Drosophila melanogaster: one gene and its partners. The protein of the gene in region 2 interacts with the protein of the main gene of each other region in a pairwise test. Each region holds a gene or a part of one and is shown on either strand. Other genes may lie near its edges.

Region 1 (4,146 bases), on a different chromosome or scaffold from region 2:
ACGACTAATTGATGCATAAGTAACGAGGCTGTTAACGGTTTGGCCTCCAAAAAACCGAAGGGTTGCCGGCAATTTAAAGGGGAGTAAGGATCAGAGGAAAACTGGGAAATCGGGGTGGCTATGGCCATTCTGGCCCATCCTGTTAGCTAGTTAACATCCACGTGCTTGTACATGAATTTAATCTCGGGGCAAACAAAGTAACAAGAATTCAATTTGTCACAGTGGTTAGCCCCGCCTTCTTGAGTATCCGGGGTTACCGGAGTTTGTTCGACGGGACTGGGTTCCCTTGCTCTCTCCGGGAATGGCACACAGAGCTAAGTGAAGCCGGGGATTCGAAGGTGGCCAAGGATCCGGGAAACATCGCCGGGCAACGGTGGCTCTATCTCTCTGAGCTACCCATGATCTGGATTTGGTAGGGGGAGCATGTAATGCACAGAGAGAAATGGGAGAGAATATTTCCTGTTCGATTTAAGGGTTCTTCTGTGTGCATAAAGTATTCAACGCTTTTTCCACCAATACTGGTTGCCTTTCTTTCGGGCAGTGCAGAGGCGAAACTAAATGTCGCGAGGGAGATGGTGTAAATATTTGCATTTCGCTTGTTTTTTGGCGTGTTGCGTTAGGCAAAGCCAAAAGGCTCCGGGGACTTGTTAATGTAAACAATGCGCATTTGATATTGAAAGCATAAGTACGAGGAGCTGGGGCAGAATCGAGCAATCGGAAGGGGGCAAATACAGCCTGTGTATTTCGTCCTTTTGGGGTAGTTTTGTGCCACGGAGGAAAGGGGCTATAAAGCTTCACTTCGCTTGCAGCAGCACGAACTCCAACGCAGGCCTGCATTAAAGCGTGTATCCGGGGAGCACTGGGTGACAAGGGAATTCGATGTAGGCTTGTGTACCGAGCACACGCTGTGGAGCCGGATCCCTTTACCCCTCCCTTAATAGAAGTAGAGGCACTCAACAAAATACAAGGTGGTAATAAGGACAAAGCCTCTGTGAACACTTGGAACAACCTCATCTGTATAGATATATTTAAAAGAAATCACTGGTAGTCGTATCTTAAGATCTTTCTTTTCAATGAATCTTATAAAGATAGATTTCCGATTTTAGAATTTTGGAGTGGATGCACATACAGTGCTATGTAAGTTTAAAATTTGAATTAATTTCGCGAAGTGTGTGTCTGCCGCTTGAGTTGGTTACAAATTTTAGGTTGGCGGGCCAGTTTTGTTGTTAGTCACAGCTGTGAGTGGCCCCTGCTCGACGAACACCCCCCCTTAGCTACAGTTTCTCCATCCCTGTATAGAACATCATTGTCATGAAAATCTGGGGACCCTCCACCTTTAAGCTGTCCTCTAATGTGGGGGCTCTGTGCAGGATAGACTGGATCCCCTAACCATCGTTTTAATTTTGCCACCCAAGCGATAAGGATTAGAAGCGGGGGATGGGAGTCATTTAATGGCTTACCTTATCTTCGGCTTCCTCGGCGCGTTCTTCCGCTTCAATGACTCGCTGTTCGAGCTCCGTTAGCTGCAAGTAGAAAGAAAGAGACTTGGTTAAAACACGCATATATCCTTAATAACAGGATCTAAACATGACTAAGCATTAACAATTGTGGGATAATATTGATGTCTTATTCTGCAGCTTTAGTTTGTTATATATAATTACATTTTTATATTTGTAATTTATACATCGTTTCGTCAGATTTTCAGGAGTTCTTACCAGGTGGGTGCCCCTGCCCCTGCCTTTATATATATCTAAATTTTTCTTCCGACAACTATTAAAATCTAACTAATATTGTAAAAGGTTTGAAAAAATATACTTAATTAAATATAAATACTTTTGTAGATCTGTATGTAAAATATTACGTGGCGCCATCTATATCTGAAGGCGTGTTAATTCTGAAAATTGCCCAAGTAAAAGGTATCTGATAGTCAGGGCATTTGACCACAACGTTTCTTCATGGTTTTATTTCATAAGCCACAGAATACTTAATTAACTTTATTAGTTGGGAATTGGTTATACTTCCAAAAAATTATTCTTAAGCCTCTTAGTTTTCAATGGATCTGTAAAAAAATTTACAGTGTAATTTCAAATTCGATTCTACAACCCGATGTAAACATTTATCTGATACACCCTCTAACAAATTATTCAACTTAGTGCAGACACAAACCCTGATAAGAAGAAGTTCCCAGTATTTTCCGGTGTGGTGAATTCCGTTTGAGCTCTTAAAAAATGGTTATTTTGCGGTCCTTATGCTTTTGGGGTTTTTCAGCATGGGAGGTTTTTCATTGGGAATCATCTACCCAGCCACCCAAAGGATGGTCTATCCATCAATGAATCAATCATGGGAAATGACACACAATTTGCAGCTAATAGTAATAATGCTCTCTAGCTAATACAATTCATGTCGCTGGGATCTGCTTCTTTGCACCTGGTATTACGATAATTTTGGAAAACGGGGCTAATTTCGCCCTTGGTCGCTTGCTTCGCGCGTTCTGAACTCAATGGATTGCCATTTAAGAAAGGTGAAAAGCCGGCCGCGGAAATAGCCCTCGAGGAATTCCCGTCCAATTAATCACCAAAGTGGCCTACGGAACCCAAGAGTCCAAAGGGAGGAAGGGCGTAGAGGAAGATGGTTAAACGTCGCTAAGGGGTCCACTTGAAGCGCGCAAGAGATCGACTGCCGTCTATTTTGAATGTCTTAAGTGCATTAATTTCCGCTTTTTATGCCATTCAAGTGGCCACTCAGTTAAGGGGGCGGACGGGGGTGTGGAGCCCATTGATTGATGGACGTCAAATTGCTGTGCGAAATATGAAGAAGCCTCCTCTACCGATGATGAATGGCGGAGCGGAAGTGGCAGGAAACGTCAGCTTGACTTGATGGTAAGCTTTCATACATCTCTTCAGTCTGAGTTAACCTTTGCTAAGCTGTTTGAGGAGTATACTCGTACTCCTCTACTCAAAGGAGAATCTAACTGCATATCCAATCAAATGTGAAGTACAAGTACCGTCTAAAATTTCCAACATTGTTAGGAAGTGTTTTTATTTGTTCGCTTGGTCGCTTGGTAATGACTAAGTCTACTTAGTGTACTAATTGGCTGAGCCATTCCCTTTGCCAAAAACAGCTGCATAGCTGCACGATTATAAATAGGGTGGAACCACCGACAAACTCGCCCAGAAGCAACAAATATGTGCTCTAGTTTAAGCGACTTGTTTGCCTGTATCAGGGCCCAGGGAAATTCCGACACGGATTCCACCAGCACCACCCATCGGCGGAATATCGCTGACCTGGACGATGAGGCGCCCGATCTGCAGCTCCAACAGGAGCAGACCCGCAAGTGGAACGATCTTTCTATGCCACAGCGACACGATTCGTTTCCAGTTCCTCCTCCTTCAGCTGGATCTCCATCAACGGGCTACCTTCGTCCCTCATTGCGGTCAGCACGGGTCTCCTACGAAGCCTTGGAGCGCTACGATCGAATTTTTGGCAGATCTTTCCAAGACGCCGGGTCATCTGGTTCAGTTCGAAATATTCCCGACCAGTTCTAGGCGGAAATTGTTTGGGATTTCGGCATTGACATTAAACATGTGATCCCGCATATTCCGCTAAAAGTCGAACACAATAAATACATTTTACACATTTTCCTGACTTGACTATATGGACAATTTACTTGCATGCGATGGCTGGCTGGTGTTCGGCGCTGCGACGAAACTTGGCCAAACCATTGGATTAAACATAAAGCTGAAAAGGCAGAAAGTTCGGTTCGACTTGCGTGCGTGAAAGATTGCGAAGGTTTTACCGGATTTGGCCGTCCTCATCCGTACACCTGTTTAATCAGGGGCGTTCTGGCCTGCCAATTGGCGACTTAATTGGAAGGAAATGAAGCGGCGGCCTAAAGCAGAAAACATTTGGCATTAATTGCTGGTGGTGTGCCAAGGGGGGTTGGGGAGGGGGTCCACTTTCCTTCAGACACTTCAGACTTAAACACACAAGTTTTACAAATGTGGCACGCAGTCGCAACAAGAACGGAAACGGAAAATGTTATTTCGCAGCCACGAATGCAATTCCAGCAAACAAATGGCTCACAATGGGTGAAGTAAACCCCCGAAGCCACTACTGCCAAAGGAGGTGACTTTGCCCATTAGTCGG
Region 2 (9,095 bases):
ATTTCCATTGCCTCCACCAAGTAGTCCTCCCTATGATGTACGATATATACGATATATGGAGGTATAAGAATGGCTCATATATTCCTGCACCCACCTAATGATGTGCTCCACGCGAATCCTCGCCCTTTCCGTTTTGCCCGTGGCCAAATAGTCGGCTATTTCCTTCCTGGACTTTTGCGTCAGCTCCGCCTTCTTCTTCTCCAGCAATTTCAGGCGATTGAGAGCCAATCGAAGATTGGTCTTCAGTTTGTTGTAATTGGGGCCGCTGGAAAACATCTTCACTACACCCTGGACTTCCGAATTAGTTGTGAAAACAAGGAAATTCGGTCAGTGGTGATTCATTAATTCGGTATGGAAAAAACAATGTGACGTCACGTGCAGTGTGACCGTACATGCAGACCCCTTAAATACCAAGGTAACATTGAAATTTCAAATTGCTTGGCTCTATTAATATTTTAATTTAATTTAACAACCGTTTAAAATATTTTCTAAAATGTTTTGTTCGGCTTATTTTGTTGAGCTTTATTGGTTGAATTTTCGGTAACACAAAAACCTTTAACAAGTATCCAGTTTACAATATGCCATTCCATTTTTTCGATGCCATTTCGCCGCCGCCGCTATGCAATTGTGTTTGGCGCCCAGGCTCGATTCGAATCCTGCGGCGAATTGAGTTCTTCACCAGACACAACCACAAAGTTGCAGCCAACCTTGATTTAATAGCAGGAGTGTGTTAGTGTTACATGTGTGCGGAATCAGTATCCCACTCGAAATATATATATGAACTAAAACTCGAACGCAATCACTTAGAGATGAGGAGCCGGTGGTGGCGGTTCGGGGCACTCCTCCATTTCCGTTTCCGATTCGCAGGGACACGCCTCCATCTCATCGATGGCACAGCCCTCCTCCTCACAAACGCCCGCATCCGGTCCGGATGGTTCCGATTCAGGTTCCTTGTAGCCGGCATAGATCTCGGCACGCTGCTTGATAATCTCCTGAATGATGGCGGTGAGAATCTCGCGCGAGTCCACTATATGGCCCACTTCCTCGGCCACCTCGGCGGACAACCACGGGCAGACGCTCTTCATAAGCTGCTCCTTCTTAACGGCATCGCTGGCCGGCTCAATGTTCTCCAGCACCTCCGGCACCAGACTGGCAATGTGTCCCTGGAGCAACTTGGCCGCCGTCACGCTCTTCTGCATCTCAGCGTCCAGCTCCTTGGCAATCGCATCTTGTCGCAGGCGACGCTCCTTCTCCGCCTGCAAGCGCAGCTCCTCAGCCTCCAAACGGCGCAGCTCGGCCAGTTCCGCCTCCCTCTGGGCCAGGAATCTGTGGGTAACACAAAACGCCATTATAGTAATCTGAAGATTTACTTTACACTTTTTATACGTACTCTTCCTGTTTGCGTCGCAGACTGGACAGTTCCATCTCGTGAGCCACCTCCAGCATGCTTTGTTCAATGCAGGCGTCCACCAGGACATCGATGATTGGCTGCGCCTCGGCATCGAAGTGGAAGAGTTCGCCCTCACCGATCTCGGTGGCCACATCCACGCCCACCTTGGCCGGTATGAACGGAGGCGTCGGCGGCTTCTCGAGGAACAGGTCCGTCTGCGTGTCGATGGTGAACTCCGGCGGACGCTGCACCAACTTCTCCAGATACTTCTCCGTCTGTATGGTCTCGTGCTTCCGCCCCTTGACCGGCGGCGGTGTGCCCAGGACATTTCTCTGATTGCGGCACTGCATCGTCCGTTTGCGCAACATATTGCGACGCCTCAATTCGGCGGCCTTGTCGAAGGGATCCACATCCGTCTGGAGAGGAAGCAAAAAGTGGATTAGTCGTAGGTCAGGGCTGCCAGAGCACTGAGCTAAGCTGAGCTGAACTGATGGGACTTACCACCAGAGAGGCGTTGCCGAAGTTGCTGCCCTTTATGACGCGACGGTCGTACATGACGTTCTTGTAGGGTTCCGGCGGCGGGACGACGGGTCTGCAAGAGGAGCAAAGTGGAGAAGCGGGCATGGAGTTGCCCAGGTGGGAGCCACCAATTAGTAAGCCTCGACCCAGTTCAACAAACTGCTCATGCAGCAAAAAAGCTGCAGACTTTTTGAAAAGGTTCGTAAATGTGCAACTTAAAAGGATTACTACATAAATGGTTAAGTTCTCTAATAAATATGATATCTATGTATGGATAAATATTGTAATTGCTGCTGGAAAAGCAAGTTAAAAGTGTATGAGTTTTAGTTATCTTTAGATTTGTTAACTTCTTTCTATTAAAGTTTAAATATTTTATTTATTTAGTTTTGATTTGCTGCAGTTTCAGTGCACTTTGCTGCATTTGCCAAGACCCAAATCTGTTGCACTATCAAGGCGATAAACATCAAATTTGTTCATTTCCCAACGCCCTCGCAGACTGCTTGTCAGGTCATCTCCGATTCGAATCAATTTCGCCAAAGTTCAGTACACTTTTGGGTCAGAGTTTAAAGCCTGCTTAAAGTTCCACGAGTCCAGTCCGCGGTGGCTGAGTAATTTATGACTTGCTAATTTATATGTATAGCACCGGCAAGTAAATGGGGAAACAAACATTTCTTACATTTCTACATATATGCTGATACATACATGCTGACTGCGAGTAGAAGTAGTATATAACGTAGTTAGACATTGCACTAGAAGAACTTGGCACCTGAACTCGTGACCTATGCAAATTCGCAGCTACTTTTGGCCCACAAACAGGAAGTCACATTGAAGTTGCTGGCGAATGTCTAACAACATTTCTCTGGGTCTGGGTCTGCGCACCACAGACATCAGCAAATGGAACGGGAAACCCTTAGTGCGATGTCCTTATGAGGGATATATGGTCTGAACGAAAATCTAAGTTGGTGAATCCTTTTTGAGTTATAAAATAGTTATCTCCCTAATAGGTTCTTTATTTAAACGTTGAGTGTGATATTTCATTTTTCGTAACCCAAAAAGTATAGCCCATTTGGCCGAACAACATCCCATTTGGGTAAAAACGACCGGCAGGACCTGTTTTTTGTTTTTTTTTTTTTTTTTATTATTGTGCCATAGGTGTCCTTCTTCTCTGGTGTGGTAATTGAACTTAATATCCCTCCATTTGTGCTTTGGTACAATGGGTACATATTGTTGTTGTTTACGAAATCTTGATTTAAATTATTTAAGCCCCGAGCTGGGAATATAGAATATTCTCCGCTGGCACGACACATTCGAGGGTCCTTTGTCCCTTTGTCCATTTGTCCATTTGTTCGCATGTTCTTTTATGCAAGGCAAACGAGTTTTCCCATTCGAGAATGCGCTAAATAAATTAATCAAACCGTTCAGGGAATTTACAATGTCCGAATGTTATTGGAAAAGCATTTCTAATTGAATTGTTAAAGAGTTAATTGTGAAAGTGGGTGAGCCACACAAGAAACTTGGCTGATGAAGAGCCTTCCATTCTATTTGCGTGTCATAGTAAAGTCTAAAAACAGATCAATAAGGTATCATCTTGAATCTATATCAGTTTAGATAACAAATCCTTGAAGGATTCAATTCGGCACTTTAAACCACAAAACCTATTTGTAATTGAATTGTTTGGGTGTCAATCGATAATGGCCGTAGGAACTGAAGTGGGGAGCTAAGTTCTGGTTCCATTGCAGAATGGCAGTGTAGGTACGTACGTATTACTCATTTGAATTTATGGTAATATATTTTGGCCCACTTTGCCTTGGTCAGTTGTCGGACCTTTTCCACTTCCCACCTTTTTTTTTTTTACTTCCAAGTTTAGCACCCATACCATTTTGGGGGTTGGTCTTTTTATTACCTCTTGTCGCTGATGTTGCTGCTGCTGTTGTTGTTGTTGTTGCTGGTGGAGCGACGCTGTTGCAGTTGTTGTTGGAACTGAGCCTTGGTGATGTGGAGTCCACCGGCGAGGGATTGCGTATCGTTACGGGAGGATTTGGAGGCCGCAGCTGTGGCCGCCGCCACTGCCGCCGTGGCACGCAAACCGTTCAGCCGGGTGGCGGTCACCTTCTGCTCCTTGCTCTCACTGCCGGTCTCCTTGGTGAGATACCCTTGGAGGATCATGGGATATGAGGAGTAGGCGTAGACATGCCTCCTCAGCATGGTGGCCGGTATCATTTGGACCTCATGCGGAGGCGGCAGGAAGATGCCCTGCGGCACTGTGGTCTCGAATCGTGGTCGCTGCGACATCGCTGGATCCATCCAGGCACCGGAATTGGCGCTCTGGCGACCGCCGTAGTTCTGCTCCTCCGGCGCCAGGAAGCGCAGCTTCTGGCTCAGCTCATCGGCGAAGCTGCGCACCTCCTGGTTGCTGCGCGAGAAGTGCGATCGCTGTGGAGGATTCCCTACATGATTATCACGGTTATCAGCTATGCCCGCCTCACGTCTAATCGGACGCACGATGGCCTGTTGGGGTCGCGTTGGATAGGAATCGAATTCGGGCTCCTCGGAGGGCTGATGGCGCAGCACCGAGAATGCGTTGGTCACCACGTGCTGGAAATTGTAGGGACTCTGATAGCGCTGGACGTTGAAGCCGCCGGCGTTGTAGTTGGTGGAGCTGTAGTTGGTGTTCGAATTGGAGCTGGACGAGACGCGTCCTGGTGCGTAGGGATAGCTGCTGGCGAAGGAGAAGTTCTGCACGCGATTCGGTCTATTGTCGGTGAGGTGCTCCAGTTCTGGCACTGGCTGTGGATCTGGCTTAAGTTCAGGATGTGAGTGTGCTGGGTGCTGCTGCTGCTCCGTCTCTGGCATGGTCTCCGCTACCGTCTCGGTTATCCCTGCTCCCGGCCGCCGGTCACCTCGTTCATTATAAATAGCCACCACACGGTTCTCTCACCCGCCGCACCGAAAAACTTAATCAATACTTTTCCTATATTTTTCCCTTTTGTGCGCCGCTCAGGTGTTGCGTTCGTTGGTTGATTGTTTGATTTTGTCGCGGAACACGTACCGCACGGCTCGAATGGCAAACGCCAAATGACCAAAGGACTCGCAGGACTCGTGGAACTCGCGCTCGGACCCGGTTTCGACTTTGGATTCGGCCCGTGGTCAGCAGTCGTCGTGCAGTTGGAAAAATATGTGGAACATATAGTCTCCTACTGCCCACGACTAAAGCTTTCCAGGAATTGAGCTGTTACTTCAAAGGACATTTTTAGTAAAAATATCCTTAAAGTGCTGCAATTGGTTTATATAGAAAATTGCATATTTAAACTATTCATGTTGCTGTTTCATAAGTTTAAATAACAATACTTCGCGTGCGTGCCACAATGTAAGTTTCTATACTATATACACATATTTTTCAAATTTTTTTCTGAGTGTATCGCTTGCTTCGCAGTTTGAGGCACATGATGGGCAGGTGTTGCAATAATAATGCGAACTGTTAACAGTCGGTGGCATTGGCATGGCCAAATCCACGTTCCCAGGAATTCTACTTTGCATAAGAGCTTTTTCTTTTCCATCCAAGTAGTTTCGTTGGGGTCTCCAATTAAAGGTTTCGCCCGGCGGAGGGACCTTGAATTTGTTTCGATGGTGTCCACATTTCCTTTCACATTGTCGGAGATGACTTCACGCATTTCCCTGCCTGACATTGAAAAAGGAGGTGGGTGGCTCTCTATTACTTGGAACACCTCCTAGGTATTGTCAATGGCCAAGGTCAATTGCTTGGACTGCCTGATAAGCGGAATTCAACAGGGAACTAAGCATAATTAAGTAGATTTCTTGGCACTCCAAGGAGTCACTCTTTTTTACTGGCAATGAAGAAAGGTCAGTGAATAGATGAAAGATTATTGTAACAGGAATTGGTAAGAATGTATCAGAAGTCCAAAAGCTTTTGGTAAAGCCTGTTGTTAAAAAAGGTAATTTTCTTTCACTCAATCATACTTCTATATGATTAAATTCGTTGGCTGACCTAAAGCACGGTATTCTTATCCTAATTTGAACATATACAGTTCAGAATTGATGTACTAATATATTCGAATAAATGATAAGATATAAGATATACCACACTGTAGTATTTATTCGATTTTTAGCTTGAGAGAAGAATGAGCACTTTACTACAACTGGATTTAGATACACTATAGTTTATTGGGTTTTTATCATATTTGGGGATCATCCTTATTCCCTGGTTGACCTTAATCCGACCCAAGTCCAGCCCCCGTCATTATCGGTAGTCAGATATATTTGTATATTTTTATGATACTAGTGCGTCAATTTCTACAATAGTTTTAAGCACTCATCGACTTCCACACTCCTCATAATTTCCTGTCCTGTGCACTCCTTCTATTGTTTCCCTTCAGAACACGAATGTTTCTATTCAAAATCGTACCAAGTTTGCGTGTCCTTTAGTGGGGCCATTGTATTGACCATCAGCCGAACACGGCCAGCGTTTAATAATTTATTTACGCAATTTATGACTTTCGTTTTTGGTCTTGGGTTCCATTGACCCCAGTGGGGAGACATATAAAGGTGTAGAAAATTCCCCTGCAAGGCGTTACAAAAAGCAATGGTTTTGCAACTATAGGATACTCATTACAAGAGGAGTAATACCCATGATAATTAACTCGAGCTTACAATTTCTAATGGTTCATATTTGTAGCGTATAAATGATTTCTTAACTACTTATTGAATTATTATATATTATATAAATTACAAAGAAAGTAAGAAAGTTGATTAATATTATAATATAATTTTACGAAATATTCAATATACCCTACTTGTCGGACTTAAATTACAGGGAATTACAGGGAAGCATGGGAAATTCTTTGGGTGGCTTCTGTTTGATACTTACTTGGGGCAACCTTTGATTTTGATCGGCTTGGGATGGCTGGCCCACCAAAATGCCTGTTTGCATGGTGGCGCTGGACAAGGATTCTCGTGCCACTTGAGCTGCATCTCGGTGACCTCGGTTCCCTTGATGCCGGAACTGAGGAAATCCATTCCTGAGCTTTTGCCACCACCATTGGGTTTGTAATCCCTCTTCGGGATCGTCGGCATTGCTAACTATTGCTATGTTGCGTTATTGAGGTTTTTAAAAACTTAAAATATATATATCGGATAAAGGTCTACCGCTTGCCAAATTTATGTGTACAAAATAGATTTATTTATGTGACACATTTTCACTGGAGTTCTTTGTCCTATGTTTTTATCTCCATATTTAAAAAAATATTGTATTATCAAAAAATTTGTATCCAAAATAAACAACGACGGCGGAATTTCCTCAGTTGCCATGGGAATTGAAAGTCGGCATTGTTAAACTGTTGCTGTGTGGGGATGGGTCTTTGGCAATGCACTTTATTCGTATTAACACTCGATAGATTTTGTTCGTTTTTTGACTGAAAGTCTATCGAGACATTTGCAATTTTTCCTTCTAACTTTCGCTTAGCGAATGGTCACTACACATTCCCATATATTATACACAACTAACTATCATTCAGTATGAGGAATCTATTTTTATATCTTCCTAGCAAGGAGAAACTAATGCAAAGCAACTTTTTCTAAGGAGCTTTATTAGCTTTTAGCTGGACTTGACCAAATACCAATATAATTTATTTATTATTTATCATTATCATTTTATTATTACTGATTTATTATTCCAACTACATTGCATGCATTCTGCAGATACAGCTGCTGTTCGGGATTTTGATTCATAGATAGATTTTTAATTGACACTTTAAGCGCATCGTTAAATTTAAGCAGGATGGCAGAAAAATAATTATTTATGTTTTTTGTATAAATTTTACAATTTTTAAAATTATTCATTAAGGTCTAAAATGGTTAAAACATTTTACAAGTCCTAAGCAAAATAACTATATTTTTCTACATGACATTATACACTTACAATGTGAATATTTTTTTACAGTAAAATGTATATTATACATATGTATACTTTGTTTTACTTGTCAGCAAGCAGTAAACCCGAACCTAAATTGCAAGCAGTTTTCAATGCTACTATTTATTGGCTAATATTAAATAGTTTACAGTAACAAAGAAAAAAGTTTATAAAAAAATTTTATTTCAAAATTGTTATCATCGATTAGTGGTAAGTTTGCAGATAAATTACATTTTTGGTCTATTTGGTTGCACAATTGCCTTGGGGACATCAAAAAATCTCACTAATTCCTTGATATTAAAATGACTTTGAATTTTCTAAACTATTTATCACTAAGTTAAATCGCTTGCCATCAGTTAAAACGTTTCGATGTAGCCACGCCTGAATCGAATTTCCCTGGAACGTGTCATTTAATTAGGTTTTCAAGGCTTATCATATCTCGGACTATCGAACGTTTGTCATTTGAATTGACCCCCTTTTTCTGTTTCGAGTTACACAGAATCTTTTGTATGGTTCTGTCTATTCATTAACAAATAGTTCGAAGGACTTTGGTCTTCGGACTGGACAACAATGACGTGGCTGTCAACGATGACGTTTCGCTTTATGCGGGGGTGATAATTGCGTCCGAAGCGAACCCCTTGAAATTCCCGAAAATGCCTAATAAGATCACAGGAACAACAGTCCGCACTCGATAAGTGGCCATGACGTTTGACATTCGCTGTGGTCCTTTGGCCATTTAGTGAGTTCAAAGGTTAATGATGGCCACACAGGCGACAACTGGCGACTGAGATCTTGTCCCGCAATTTCCCGATCATTTGCTCAGATACGATACGGATTCTGCGAAGTCACCGGGCAAAGGCATCCCACTGAGTTTGTTGGCTTCTTGTCAAACAAATCATTTACTGCGGATACTCCTCGATATTCCTCAAGATACTATCCATTTCACTGTGTAGGTGTGAGCTGCAATTTTCCCTGGAAAAATTACGTCCAGCACGGGATTTGATTAATTTATTACCGCTTGTCGAAGGGAAAGTGATCTTCGGGTTCCTAACGGTTGCGGATCGTAAAAAACATTCGGCAGACACAATTGTTGAATTATCTGCGGGCTGCTGTTGTGGGCACTTTTTTATGAGTTATTTATGTGCGACTGTGGCGCCAACAGGATCATAAAATATGTAGTTATGGGTAAATCTGTGAAAATAAATGTAAGCGTAATCTGGAAAATATTGAGTGGCCTAGATTCACCACATTAGTCATTTC
Region 3 (4,482 bases), on a different chromosome or scaffold from region 2:
TCGGCTATGACCGCTGAGTACAGGTGTCCAATGTGAGGAGCTATTTGTTAAAAATTATTTCTTTTTATTATCCGTAATATTGACTGATTTGGTCTAAAATGCTTACCTGCATTTACATAGAAAATTGGAGTTGTCACATAGTGCGAACTGTTGTAGCGAGTTCCCAAATATCTGAGGCACTTAATTCTTCTAATAAGCATCACTTTAAAAGCTATTTTAATATACAAATAAGTAAAAAAAAAAAACGTCTAAACAATTTGCCGGTTGATTTTATAACATTGAACAGCTGTGCCACCAGTGCTGCCCATCACTCGGCTAACAGTGCACGTAACAGTCTCATTTGACATAGATGCACACTTAACAGCGTAGACGCAAAATTTAACGGCTTAAAATTTTAAATTAAATTCAAAAGAATAAATCAAATATTTCCATGCAAATTAAACTTATTTAAATATATTTATTTAATACTAACAAAATTATCGTGAAACATTTTAATTTTTAGTTATAAAACCATTATCTTTTAATAGGAAACTTATTAAACCGAAATCGAAACGTAACAAAATATAGAAAAGATCAGTTGATCCCCGAATTCGGTGCTAGATTTTGGCTGCCTGCGCCGGAAAACTTTCCGGCCATCTTGCGCGGACCCCAGCGCACCTGCTGGCGGTGGGTCATTCGACGAGACCTCTGTGCCTTCTGCTTGGCCTCCACTGCAGCACAGGCCGCTTTGTAGGCCGCCTGCTTGGTCTTCTCGAAGTCCGTCTTGGCCTCGGTCATCTGGCGGGTTAGATTCTCCACCCGGTGCTTGGCAGCCTCCAGGAGCTGCGTCTTCTCGGCCAGCTCCTGCTGCGCTCCACTGGCCACGTTCTCGATATTGGCCAGATTGGACGTGGCGGCTATCACAAGGTTCTTCAGCTGATTGAGTTGCGATTGGGCCTCGTGGGCAGCCGATGCGGCGGCATTGGCATTCGCTTGGGTGTTTTGTAGGGACGAGGTCACCTCAGTGACAACCGCATCCGCCTCGGTCATCTCCTGCTGCAGCTGTTCAACAATCTGCTGCTTTCCGGCCAGTGCCGCCTCCGCCGCACGAGCGGATTGAGCTGCCTTGGCGGCCAGTTCGTTTTTGACCTGGGATGCAGCCGCCTCGGCAGCTGCCATCTGCGAATCGCTGGCTGCCTTGGCCTCCTGGGCGGCTTTTTGGGCAATGTTGGAGGCCTTCTGCTTGGGATCTCCGCGACCAAAGACGCCGGTTCCGCTGCTGCAGCCAACCCCTTTCTTCGAATTAGGTTCCCCACAGCCTTCGGATCCGCCTCCCAAACCGCCCGCCCCACCAGTTCCATCGATGCTGGCATCGCCGTACAATGCGGACAGGCATTGCTTGTCATTCGTTTCGGCGGGTCGGTAGTGGTAGCTCTCCAGTCGAGGGAACGCACGCAGCAGTAGCAGGACGAGGAGCAGCGCTTTCGTGCCAGGCATATTCCGATCAAATATTTGGAAACACTCGACGCTGACTCCATTCGGAAAGCCTGGTTTGACTGAAAAATTACCTTCTCTTAGCAAAAACAATTCGGAAAAACTACCTCGGATATTTGCCTTTCATTAATTTCATTGTTTAGATGGATACAACATATATGTATATCCTACATCCAGCAGCTATGAATAGTATTATGCATCTATTTAATTACATGCTCGCAGTATATTTTTTATTATATTGATATAATATATTATTTTTAAAAAAGTAGCATTATAAACTTTACAAAAATATATATATATGTATAAAATTTAAGTGATAATGGCTAATATTGATCGTTTCTAGCTTGAAGAGGATGCAGAGCTAATCGCCCTTTGCATCCTTTGAGCCTTTTGCTTGGCCTCCACTGCCGCACAAGCCGCCTTATAGGCAGCCTTCTTGGTCTTGTCGTAATCCTGCCTGGCAGCGACCACTTGTCTGGAGATGCTCTCCACTCTCCGATTGGCCGCCTCCAACAGCTGCCCCTTCTCATCCATCTCCAATTGGGCACCATTAGCGAAAGTTTCAATGTTGGTCATTTGAGCGGTGGCCTCAGCCAAAAGGACTTTCAGTTGGTCCAGCTGAATCTTGGCTTCGGAAAACGCTAACATGGCAGATTCTGCGTTCACCTGTGTGCTGTGGAGTGAGTTCTTAACCTCGTCCACAACGGCCACCGCCTCCTTTTCCTCCAGCTCCAGTTGCTCCATGATCTGTTGCTTGCCAGCAAGAGCTGCCTCCGCGGCTCGAGCAGCTTGGACCGCCTTCTCGGCCAGATCCTGTTTCACTTGGAGTGAGGCTGCCTCTCCGGCGGCCATCTGGGCGTCATTGGCCGCCTTGGCGTCCTGGGCGGCCTTAATTGCAATGCTGGAAGCCTTGCTCTTGGCATTCTTTTGGCTAAGGCCACAAGAATTTTGCACAGCAGAACTTGTTTCACACCCTTCCGATGATCCTCCACTTGCAGTCTGCTTCTTTTCGCTTGCTGGCTCATACAATCGAGCCACAACAGGATCCTTGTTCAATGGCGATGAGAAAACAAATTATAGACTAGGACTTTACCCACAGATTCGAGGGTTAGGACTCACCGAGTCGCTTATCATGATTATGTGGCTCCGCGAAACGCAAGCAAGGCTAAGCAGGAATAAGCACATTGCCTGGCAATAGAGCATAATCTCGATTTCCGGATTTGACAGGCATGGCATCTCCATCCGATTGACAGTCGGAAAAATGCTCGAGACAACGGAAAATGCGGATAGACACTCAGATCATGTGGCTAATAATTGTGTTATCCTCGCTCCCGGCATCCGCTACTGGCAATCATTATCGAACCCGCCGAAAGCCAATGCAGACGGAGGACTCAGACCTGATGAGGAGTTTCGCTGGTGGGCTCGGTGGCGGTGGTCCTGGTGATGGAACCGTGTGCGACATGTCAGGGGAGGATAGCAACTCGCCGGCAAAGAAGACGCGAAACCATACTAATGCCAAACAGCGATCCTCCGGAATCGCCGTCCAGGCGGCCAACGAGGCTAAAAAGGCAAACGATGATATGAAAAACGCCGTTAAGGAGGCCGCTGATAAAATCAAAGGTGAATACGCAGACAAGGCAAACGCTGCGGCCAAAGCTGCCGAAGCAGTGCTGTTCGGAAAGAGTCAGGTGCTGGAGCAATTGGAAGCGGAGGTCAGGGAGGCCGAAATGGTGGTGCAGGAGGAAAACCAGGAGCTGATCACCGCCGAGTCGAATGCACAGCTTGCCGCCAAGACGCACCAATTGGTCCAGCAGGAGCTCAAGACACTGACCATAAGCCTCAAGTTGGCCAAGGACATTAAGGATGCCTCAGATCAAGTATACACAGTGTGGCAACAATCGCTCGCCGACAAGACGGCACTATTAGAGGCTGCCCAGCGGCGGGTTAATGTCCTAATGCGGCAACTTAGCGAAGCTCGATTAGATTACGATAAGACCAAGAAGGCGGCACTAAGTGCCGCCAAAGCAGCGCAAGAGGCCAAACAGCGTATAGATCAATCGGAGTGTGAAGGCGGTTCTCGTGGCAGAAGGGGGCGACGAGCGTGGCTGGAGTACAAGGAACACCATTGATATACCATATATTTTGCATATTACAAGAAAACAACAAGAATAAATCAATTTGAATTTTAATCTGTAGTTTATTAAACTTTTTTCTTTAGGGAATAAAAATATAAAATTCCTCGACAGCGTGCAAAAAGTGCGCGCGTCTTGAATGGCTGCCAAAAAATGCTATGGAACTTTGCCTGTACAAGTCTGACCGATCGCCCCGATAGGAATATACATATCTGCCTGCTGTGTGTGTGTGTGTGTGTACAATTTTGGACAAATACCAGAGCGGACTAATTGCTAGTCTTAAGCGAAAGAATTGTTAAACTAGTAGAATACAAGGGAGCCGAACTAAAGATAGGCGTTACAAATTATGATTACGCTTGAGCTTCAATCAAGGCAAACAAACGTTCACAAAAATGTACATGATTTTATAACTTAGGTGTAAAATAATAAATATGCAATCAATGGAGTTAGTACAATTACAATTGGCTGCTGTTGTTGTGGTTGCCTGTTCACAATACAATAATTTCAAGGGTGATGCTTGGTTTCGTTCTCTAAATATATATATATATGTATATATATAAGCATGTGGTTGCGGATATTATTCTTAGTTCAATCAATTAATCAGTAGGTTAATTGGTAACAAACATAAATACGCAGAGCTCTACATAAAATAGTTTCTTCTTACACAATCCTGGTGACTTAAGGTTAGTTAATTTCTCATTACAGTAGATATATAATATAGATATTTATAATTCGTATGCAATATATGTACAATCTAACACAAGCCCCTGTAAGTAATTGTTTTTAATGTCTCCCATCGTTTATCTGTTATTCGCCTAAGCCCAACAATGTTATATTTATCAGCTTAGCTTAGTTATTTGTATTTGTTTATAGAATC

Evidence for each region. The genes of interacting proteins can lie anywhere in the genome.
Region 1: the proteins of Rsph3 (region 2) and CG14635 interact in a two-hybrid assay, tested with the Drosophila melanogaster proteins (one large-scale study listed by BioGRID).
Region 3: the proteins of Rsph3 (region 2) and CG14840 interact in a two-hybrid assay, tested with the Drosophila melanogaster proteins (one large-scale study listed by BioGRID).

The regions. Positions count from the first base shown.
Region 1 is NC_004354.4:841,652-845,797, forward strand, and holds CG14635 (uncharacterized protein), read left to right. Parts: upstream 1-3,171; 5' UTR 3,172-3,185; coding exon 3,186-3,545; 3' UTR 3,546-3,646; downstream 3,647-4,146. Other genes in the region: CG43867 (uncharacterized protein), read right to left, coding at 1,461-1,523.
Region 2 is NT_037436.4:6,756,129-6,765,223, forward strand, and holds Rsph3 (radial spoke head protein 3), read right to left. Parts: upstream 4,987-9,095; 5' UTR 4,763-4,986; coding exon 3,813-4,762; intron 1,983-3,812; coding exon 1,892-1,982; intron 1,807-1,891; coding exon 1,391-1,806; intron 1,327-1,390; coding exon 804-1,326; 3' UTR 501-803; downstream 1-500. Other genes in the region: Ist1, read right to left, coding at 1-30, 95-276.
Region 3 is NT_033777.3:14,259,708-14,264,189, forward strand, and holds CG14840 (uncharacterized protein), read right to left. Parts: upstream 1,507-4,482; 5' UTR 1,477-1,506; coding exon 574-1,476; 3' UTR 501-573; downstream 1-500. Other genes in the region: MetRS-m (Methionyl-tRNA synthetase, mitochondrial), read right to left, coding at 1-40, 107-200; CG14841 (uncharacterized protein), read right to left, coding at 1,813-2,520, 2,593-2,709; CG14839 (uncharacterized protein), read left to right, coding at 2,754-3,602.